Arabidopsis thaliana: one gene and its partner. The protein of the gene in region 1 interacts with the protein of each later gene in a pairwise test. Each region holds a gene or a part of one and is shown on either strand. Other genes may lie near its edges.

Evidence for each region.
Region 2: the proteins of AT5G60530 (region 1) and AT1G01910 interact in a two-hybrid assay, tested with the Arabidopsis thaliana proteins (one large-scale study listed by BioGRID).

What each region holds. Positions count from the first base shown.
Region 1 is NC_003076.8:24,333,138-24,337,511, reverse strand, and holds AT5G60530 (late embryogenesis abundant protein-related / LEA protein-like protein), read left to right. Parts: upstream 1-1,653; 5' UTR 1,654-1,826; coding exon 1,827-2,418; intron 2,419-2,587; coding exon 2,588-3,315; 3' UTR 3,316-3,605; downstream 3,606-4,374. Other genes in the region: PDX2 (pyridoxine biosynthesis 2), read left to right, coding at 20-211, 312-409, 503-638.
Region 2 is NC_003070.9:312,508-317,809, reverse strand, and holds AT1G01910 (P-loop containing nucleoside triphosphate hydrolases superfamily protein), read left to right. Parts: upstream 1-1,719; 5' UTR 1,720-1,978; coding exon 1,979-2,233; intron 2,234-2,794; coding exon 2,795-2,919; intron 2,920-3,007; coding exon 3,008-3,158; intron 3,159-3,258; coding exon 3,259-3,369; exon of another isoform or gene 3,370-3,584; coding exon 3,585-3,723; intron 3,724-3,814; coding exon 3,815-3,930; coding exon of another isoform or gene 3,931-3,938; intron 3,939-4,050; coding exon 4,051-4,215; 3' UTR 4,216-4,656; downstream 4,657-5,302. Other genes in the region: AT1G01920 (SET domain-containing protein), read right to left, coding at 1-45, 168-249, 354-516, 617-643, 720-802, 913-1,018, 1,097-1,271, 1,370-1,466 and 1 more; SBTI1.1 (subtilase family protein), read right to left, coding at 4,799-5,302. UniProt on the Arabidopsis thaliana protein: ATPase required for the post-translational delivery of tail-anchored (TA) proteins to the endoplasmic reticulum. Recognizes and selectively binds the transmembrane domain of TA proteins in the cytosol.

The DNA of each region.
Region 1 (4,374 bases):
ATTTGTTTTTGATGTGTAGATTCAAAGTTTTGAAGCTGATATCTTAGTACCTCAACTAACATCTCAAGAAGGTGGGCCAGAGACATACAGGGGAGTGTTCATACGTGCTCCAGCTGTTCTTGATGTAGGTCCTGATGTCGAAGTCCTGGCGGATTATCCCGTCCCATCAAACAAGGTCTTGTATTCAAGCTCCACCGTACAAATTCAAGAGGTTTGCTTAATTTTGCACTAATTTTCATGAAACGATTACTCTTTTGTGAGCACATGTATGAATCCCTTCTTGTTGGTTTCATTTTTTGGGGATAAATCAGGAAGATGCTCTTCCTGAAACAAAAGTCATTGTTGCTGTGAAGCAAGGAAACTTGTTAGCAACTGCTTTTCATCCCGAGCTTACTGCAGACACTCGATGGTAATTGATTAACATTTTCCCCGATCTTTTGATATTTGCAGCAATGATCTATATGGTCTGTTTTTACTCTTTCCGGTTTCATTTTTTTTGCAGGCACAGTTATTTCATAAAGATGACGAAAGAGATTGAGCAAGGAGCTTCTTCAAGCAGTAGTAAGACTATTGTATCTGTTGGAGAAACAAGTGCTGGTCCCGAGCCAGCTAAGCCTGATCTTCCTATATTTCAATAACTGAACAGAGAGAAGATACACACTTCTTAAAATAAAAACCAGAGAAAGTGTCAGATTCTTTATCTTTCTAAAGATGTTTTGGAAAAATTGCAAGCTAGTTTGCAATTTGCACTCAAGAAAGTTTCACAAGACTCTTTAATGGATTCATGTACTTGTTTCTTGATACAACTTTATATATACAGTTGAATCTCAAACTTTTTTGCTGATTCAATTTGGTCTATGTCTTGTGAAATGTGAAAGGTCGTTTGGCCAAGAATTAAGCTTTAGATAACTGTCAGCGTTTATAGGCAGAACAGAACATGCTCTGAAAGTATAACTCGGTAGGGTTTTGGTTCAATGGTTTAGAAGCTAACCCGGTTTATAGTAAACCAGTCAGCTGACTTTGACGCGTTTGACTTTTCATTGCTTTCTCGAAAGGGTGCAATCTTGTAGTAGTGGGCGGCTTTGGGCCAATGAAAGTCAAGAAAAGTTACTTAAAATGCACACATTTACAGATATGTTAAGACATGAGGGCTTTCTTCTTCATTTAAGGCATCCTCACGTTCTAGATACTCGTTTCCTTGCACATAAAGCCATCAAGAATTAATTTTGTTTTTCTTCAGAAAATAGAGAAAATTTTCAAATTTGTATATATAGTGTATAGAAAGATATACAGACCGGATTTTTCAAATTTATTGTATCGATAACCAAAATTTTCACCCTTTTTTATTATTTTTTGTCAACTAAATGAATACTAACTTCACCCTGTTTTCTCATAGTAAATTGCTAATATAATTCAACTGGGAACAAATGAAGCAAGTATGAATATGATTTGATCATGAGGCATTAAGAACTAGGTAAAAATTTGTGAACTGATATTATATGTATGGTTGTGTTTAAATTAAACAACTCTTTTCTAGCTAAAAGACTTGATGTTGAAGCTTCATCAAGCTAGATTTTTGTTAAGAAATCAATGGAGACGACTTGAGATGAACTCAAAGAGTCGGCTTCTTTCTTAAGATGAAGCAAGGGATATTATCATATGGGGTTTTAATAAGTCAACTCAATTCTTTGCCCATTCTATATAATCCCTTCTTCTGCAACAACATCTCATCACACCAAAAAACACAGAAACATTTTGAGAAACCAAAGAAGAAGAAGAAGAAGAAGAACAAGCAGAAGCTAAAGAAGAAGACTTGAACTTGAGAGATGGAGCGCAGACAGTCATATGTGCTTGTCGCGCTCATTGGATTGCTTCTCTTGACAGATATTGTCATTGCACAGAGCGATGGCGGCAAAGGCAACGGTAACAATGGCAAGGGGAACGAGGTACAAGTAGACAAGGGTAAAGGAGATAATGGCAAAAGTAACGGTAACGGTCCAAAGGATAAAGAACAGGAGAAGAAGGACAAGGAGAAGGCAGCCAAGGACAAGAAGGAGAAGGAGAAAAAGGATAAGGAGGAAAAGGAGAAGAAGGATAAGGAAAGGAAGGAAAAGGAGAAGAAGGATAAACTGGAAAAGGAAAAGAAGGATAAGGAAAGGAAGGAGAAGGAGAGGAAGGAGAAAGAGAGAAAGGCGAAGGAGAAGAAAGACAAAGAGGAGAGTGAAGCAGCTGCGAGATACAGAATATTATCACCGTTGCCTACAGGACAAGAGCAGGCCATGTGCCAAGGTCGGGGATCATGTTACTACAAGACTCTTGTTTGCCCTGGTGAGTGTCCCAAGAGGAAGCCCACGAAGAACAAGAACACCAAAGGTTGCTTCATTGACTGCACTAACAAATGTGAAGCTACCTGCAAATGTAAGTACATTCTATTCAATTGGTCTCCTTTGTTCTATATTCAGTTAGCTTATCGCACAAGTAACAAGAATATAGATTTCAGTTGTGGATTGATAATTTGTGGTACAATGAATTTGTTTACTTATAACCCAAGTAACTTGGCTTAATTTCGGGTTCCTCTTTCTTTCAGGGAGAAAAACGAACTGCAATGGTTACGGATCTCTGTGCTACGACCCTCGATTTGTGGGAGGAGACGGTGTGATGTTCTATTTCCACGGATCCAAAGGAGGAAACTTTGCGATTGTTTCAGACAACAATCTCCAAATTAACGCTCACTTCATCGGTACAAGACCCGTTGGGAGAACCAGAGACTTCACATGGGTTCAGGCCCTAAATGTCATGTTCGAAAACCACAAGCTCGTGATCACAGCCAACAGAGTGAATCAATGGGATGAAACATCTGACGCCTTTACCATCAGATATGATGGAGAACTCATCACACTCCCTGAAGACGAACAATCAGAATGGAGGGAAATTTCAGGACAAAAGAAGGATATCATCATCGAAAGAACTGATGAGAGAAACAGCGTAAGAGTACTTGTCTCTGATCTTGTTCAGATGGACATCAGAGTGAGACCTATAGGGAAAGAAGAGAACAGAGTTCACAACTATCAGTTGCCGCAGGATGACGCTTTTGCCCATCTCGAGACTCAGTTCAAGTTCTTAGACCTAAGTGAGCTCGTCGAGGGTGTTTTGGGGAAAACCTACCGTCCTGATTACGTCAGCTCTGCCAAGACTGGAGTCCCAATGCCTGTATTGGGAGGAGAAGACAAATACCAAACGCCTTCTCTGTTCTCGCCGACTTGCAGACTGTGCAGGTTCAAGCCTCAAGAAGAATCACTTTCTGCTGATATCTAATGAGAAGAAGGAGAAAGATGGAAACTTCTTTGATTTTTAAATAAATTCATGGAAATTTCGTGTTTGTAACTGTTTTGTTTCTGGAAATATTTTATATTCATAAAAAGTGATGTAATAAAAGCCAAAAAGATAACATTTGGCCTGTTTGTGATGTTTTTGAGGGTTTAAGAAATGTAAAACATTTCTTGTGCAAGAAGCAACCCCTTGATTTCTTATCGTTCCTTTGCTGTATTTTGTGTACCTATCCGTTTATCGAACAATAAAAAAAAAAAAAACTATATTTGTGTGTATATTCATGTATTTGAATCTGAAATTAAGTTTCTTGGTTCCAGTATTTTGTATATTCTTCACTTTGAAAGCAAGTGTTTTTTTGGGGGTTCTCACGAACAACTGGAGATGCTTCGAGAGCACTCTTTTCACTAAAACTTATAAACCAGTAGGAAAAATCAGATTTAAATAATCAAATAAGTTGGTGCATAAAGAAAAGGTTTCCAATTTTCTAGGCATAGTTCATGTGATCCAAGGAAATTAAACTATGTTACTCATCACATGAGTACATGGCTTCAATACCATCTAATCATATTTCTATTGAGTATATGGAATTAATATATAAATGTCAACTCCACAATGATGATTAGTTAGTGCAACCACTCGTAGTTTTGAATTGTTTTCTAATCATGAATACAATGCATAGATCCGTTATCGATGGTTGTCATTAGCTTTTCATCCTTTAATTGTGTGAAACCATTATTTACAACAAGGAGAGATAAATGTGGAAACAAATTCGTGAAAAAGATGAACTGCACATTTGTATATATTTAATTCAATGATGTCCTTAGATTAACAAGCAGGAAATGTTAACATATATAGTTAATTTTTTTTTGTAAAATTGTTACAGCCGACCTTTGGTTAATGATTTATATTACAATTTACTCTATTTTCTATCGGCTGACTTTTCCCTGTTAGAAATGCAGATTTTCAATTTTTGTTAATTATTCATGTCAAGAACTTAATATTTGAAGCTAGTGGTGGTTCTCCCAAAGAATTTAATAAACAAAG
Region 2 (5,302 bases), on another chromosome or scaffold:
CTGATCCGATCCCATCAACTTCCCAAGTCGCCACAGGCTTCAAATCTATACTGCCATAACCATAGGTCATTATATCACATCACACTGGGATATACTCATTAACCATATCAACATTATGGAACGGAGAAACTGATAATAGAGTCTTTTTGAAACAAAGATTGGCATACCATGGTTGCAAAAGTCAATGCCAGGAACAAGCCCCTCAACCCATATTGTATCTCCGGATCCTACAGATGGCGCAGGTTGAGCCTGAATTTCTACCCATCAGAAAATGAAGAAACCCATGAAATTGTCGTTACATGATAGAATAATAATAATTAAAAAAGAGGCATTTCACACAGAATTCAGCAGACCGACGTTAATGACTTGCCTTTTTCCTCATTAGAATTAACTGGAGCCGTTTCAGGGGACTCACTTGTTGATGTGCATTCCCCGGTATCATCTTGGCTTTGTGGAAACACGAAAGAATGTGGAAGAGGAATATTCAAGGCGCGACTCCAGAATACAGAGTTTGCCCTGGCATAATTGAAAAAAGTCGCAAGATCACTAAGCAGCCCTTTACAAGACACAAAAGTCTGGTTCTACTAACAAGGAATAACACCAGTACCAAACATACCAGAGGAAGTGTTCAAAGGAGACCTTGCTGCACGAAGAGAGAAAACAAAATATGATTATCAATGAACAATAATTTGGTCTAAAAGTAGTGTAAATATGTCAACCTTTCGGAATCGCCATCCAAAATAAGAAGCTTTGTCACCAGGACCTCCACCTTGTCATGGTAAAGCGAGAGCAACTTCTTCTTCTGAGAATGAATACACGATGGTTATTGGGTTTAATAAATGAAAAGAGAAAATGTGGTTGCTATTTTAAGGACGATATGATAAGACAGGAATAAATGATCAAGATTGAGACCTGTAACTCGGTTGCGTGATACAAGTTAGTCCCTTTTAGCTCAAGGATGTCATCATCAGAAAACCAAAGAGGATTGCCAAATCGAGTAGGAAGCATATCAAGATACCTATCATATCATTTCTAGACAGATGAATACCCTTAAGCTTACGTAAATGTGTGCTAAGAGATTAAAAAAAAAACTTACGGCTTCCAAGAAGAATTGATACGAAGACGCTCCAAAGTGAGGAACAGAATCATGAGAAAGCGGTCATCAACTTGTCCTTGTTCGAACATTTTCTGACACTCAGGGCCCAGGAGAGGGTCCTGAAGAACTCTCATAGGGGTAATGGCCAGATCAAGCGGAACAACAAGCAAAACTTCTGAAAATTTCCAGAGCTGAATCAGAATTCAATATCAACTTTCCATACATATTCCCCGGAAAAAAACCCAGCAAGAAATGGTAAGAACAATACTATACCATCGGAAGCTTGAGTGGAGGTGGAAGCGAATATGCCAAATCCTTTTAGGGAGTCAGAATATTTGATGTTGCAGCCTCTTAATTCACCTCCATTCACCTGAATGAAATTAGATCGAAACACAAAATGCCATGATATAGAGCAGCAGATCAGGACTGAAAAACAACACTTAATCCGGATCTAACCTGAAGCCAATCTAGGAACCTTTCGAGTTTGGCTTCTTCTTCTGAAATCGCCATATCCTCCGGCGAAGATCAATATGCCGGCGACGGGTTTAACCGAGTAGAGAGGGGTTTTCAATCGTAACTCACAATACGCTGTCGTAATGGCTTCATCTATGTGGGCTTTTGTATGGGCTTATTTAGCGTTTATGAACTTAAACACACCAAATTTAAATTTTTAACAAAAAAAGAAAAATTGAACAAGTGAAAAACGATAACCAAAAAAATCAAACCAAGACTGCTGTGATATCCCAAAACCGAGAACCAAAATATTGAACCGGGCGGCGTTAAAAGTCTCTCGCCGCAGTTAAACTCTTCCGTACGCCAAATATCTAACAAGGAGCTCTTTAGATTGAGACTAGTGGAAGAGAGACGAGCAAGGAATTAGCAATGGCGGCGGATTTGCCGGAGGCGACAGTACAGAACATTCTGGACCAAGAGTCTCTTAAATGGGTTTTCGTCGGAGGTAAAGGAGGTGTTGGGAAGACGACATGCAGTTCAATTCTCGCAATTTGTCTCGCCAGTGTTCGATCCTCCGTTCTCATCATCTCCACCGATCCTGCTCACAATCTTAGTGATGCCTTTCAGCAACGCTTCACTAAATCTCCCACTTTGGTTCAAGGTTTCTCTAATCTCTTTGCCATGGTAAGCTTTCTCCGATTTTGTTCTAGATCGTGCTAGATTTTAGAGGGAATTTGGTAGTTTCGCTCCTGGATTTTAATCTCATTGGGAATTAGGGTTCTCTGATTCACGAATTTCAAACCGCAGATTGATGGATCAATTTTGATTTTGAAGTCAGATTTAGTACTTGCATAAATACGGTTGATTTGTGCCTTTCTTATCATATGCCCACTCTGATTTTGGGGATTAGGTTTGGAATTTGGACGCCAATTTGTATTCTTGATACGGAAGGGGATTGTGAAGAAGATTTGATGTCCCCAAATCAAATCGAATTTTTGTCTATTGTAGTTAAAATTCATGGCTAGTTATGCCAAATTCAAAAAAAAAAAAAAAAGTTGTTTTTTGTGGTTCTGGGTCGCCTCTAATAGACAGGCTTGATGATGACTTTATGGCTACTCTTCTAAGCTTGAAGCTCTTAGTTGTGTCTGTGTGTATATGTATATATATACACATACTATAAGCAAATGGTTACGATTCACACTCCTTCCCTCTTGATAGTGAGTGAATCTTGTTTGCTTTTCTCAGGAGGTAGATCCTACCGTTGAAACTGATGACATGGCTGGTACAGACGGGATGGATGGTTTATTCTCTGATTTGGCAAATGCGATTCCTGGAATCGATGAGGCTATGAGTTTTGCTGAGATGTTGAAGTAAATAGCCATTTAGTTCTTCTAGTAATCATCTGCCTTTATCCATGTATTATCACAGTCAAATTTTGATATGTTTATGTTTCCTTAGGTTGGTGCAAACAATGGATTATGCTACTATTGTGTTTGACACTGCTCCTACTGGACATACTCTCCGCCTGTTACAGTTTCCGGCCACACTAGAAAAGGGACTTTCGAAGTTGATGTCATTGAAGAGTAGATTTGGTGGCTTGATGACTCAGGCATGTCTTTAAGCTTGTCAAATTCAGTTTGCTTGGCAACAGATATTGCTCTTTGGTTTCTTCTTTGGCTGATTTTTCATGGAACTGATTGGTAATGCAGATGAGCCGTATGTTTGGCATGGAGGATGAGTTCGGAGAGGATGCTTTGCTGGGAAGACTTGAGGGCTTGAAAGATGTGATTGAGCAAGTAAATCGGCAATTCAAAGACCCGGTAACATTTTTTCAATTGTTTAAGTTCTTTGCTATTTTCAGTACTCATTGACTGTTTTCTTAACTCTGTTCGTGAAGTTTAGTTTTAGATTCTTCACATTGTTCTGTAGCATACGGTTTGACAGCATTCATTTGCATTAGTGAAAATTCTGATACATATCTAACAAACTCTGCATTTTAAGATAAGAAATTGACACATTTGGCTCCATTACGTAGGATATGACTACGTTCGTTTGTGTCTGCATCCCCGAGTTCTTGTCTCTCTATGAAACAGAGAGACTTGTTCAGGAACTCGCCAAGTTTGAGATTGACACGCATAACATTATCATCAACCAAGTACTATACGACGACGAAGGTGCCTATTTATTTGCTGTCGTGTCTATCTTCTCGTTTTGAACTTGTTTTACATACAAATTTGACGAATTATCTACACTTGTCTTCTGTAGATGTGGAGTCCAAGTTGCTCAGAGCAAGGATGCGGATGCAACAGAAGTATCTTGATCAGTTTTATATGCTATACGATGACTTTAATATCACAAAGCTTCCTCTGCTTCCGGAAGAGGTAAGAACGCATGACATTCAATATAGATGAGAAGGAACATGATCAAGACGAAAATGAAACTAAAGCCTTATATAATATACATCCTGAGATTTACACTTGTTGTGGATGTTTGGATCACAGGTGACAGGGGTTGAAGCCTTAAAGGCGTTTTCACATAAGTTCTTGACGCCGTACCATCCTACCACTAGCAGGAGCAATGTAGAGGAGCTGGAGAGGAAAGTACACACATTGCGTTTGCAGTTAAAAACAGCTGAAGAAGAACTCGAACGGGTCAAGAGTGGCTAAAGATAAGGCTCTGTTCTTCCCTTTAATTGTAAGTTTCTTTCCTCGCCATATTCTTGGAACTCACTTGCTTTCTACATGGGGGTCTTCTGGATCTGCGTTGTCATTTGGGTTTATTGTTGTTTATGTTTTGAACAATTTATAGGTGGAAAATTAAAACTGAATCTTTTTCTCTCTAGTTCTTCATCTAGCAACAACTCTTTATAGGACAGGAAAGAAGATCAAGCAGAATCTTCTTTTGCGTTGTTTTATTGTTATGCATTGGATTTGTTTTTATATTTGTAATAATCATGACTACATAGACTCATATCTACCAAGAAATCGTTGTTTTACGACTTAATCAGCTTTTTATATATTAAGTTGAAGGGTATCTGTGACAAGCGAATGCTATGATCTCTTGTAACAGCTTTTTATATACTGTAGACTGGTCTTGCAACAGAGAAGGAAAATTCATGTAAAAAAATTATAGTAAATAAGAGATGTTTTGATTTATTGACAAATTCTTACAAGTTTAGGGTAAGCTTTTGTTCAATAAGTTTCTTTGGTATATAATAAATATGAAAATGGCAATCAATAGATGCGAAATTTATTCCCACGTCACGGCGATTGGGCTTCTGACGTTGTATTTGTCACATATCCAAACCAAAACTCCAAAGGAAGACGAAGACGAATTTCTCGAAGCTTCTGCATCATACGTCACCGTATAACTCAACCTCTCTCTGGCCTTCTGGAACTTGAGCACCTTTGGTTCAACTCTCACCTTCACACCTTTTGGTTCCTCAACGTGCACCATATACTCACAAGTCGGTGACCCAACGTTAGTCACAGTCCTCTTATATCTCACCGTTTTCAAATTCGCGCCATTAACGAGGTTGACCGCGAACGAGGGATAGTTCAAATCACCGGGACTCAAAACGACGGCGTTACTAGCACACGTGTAGTTAGTGCCGGAGAACAAGAGTATTCTCTCACTCGTGTAGTTCAAGCTGCACAAGTAGTTGAGATAATCGACGGTGGAGGTATCGTATACCAGCCCGGGATCTACCGCTCGCGTGGGATCCACGTTTCCCGCTCCAAACGCAAACGCTGT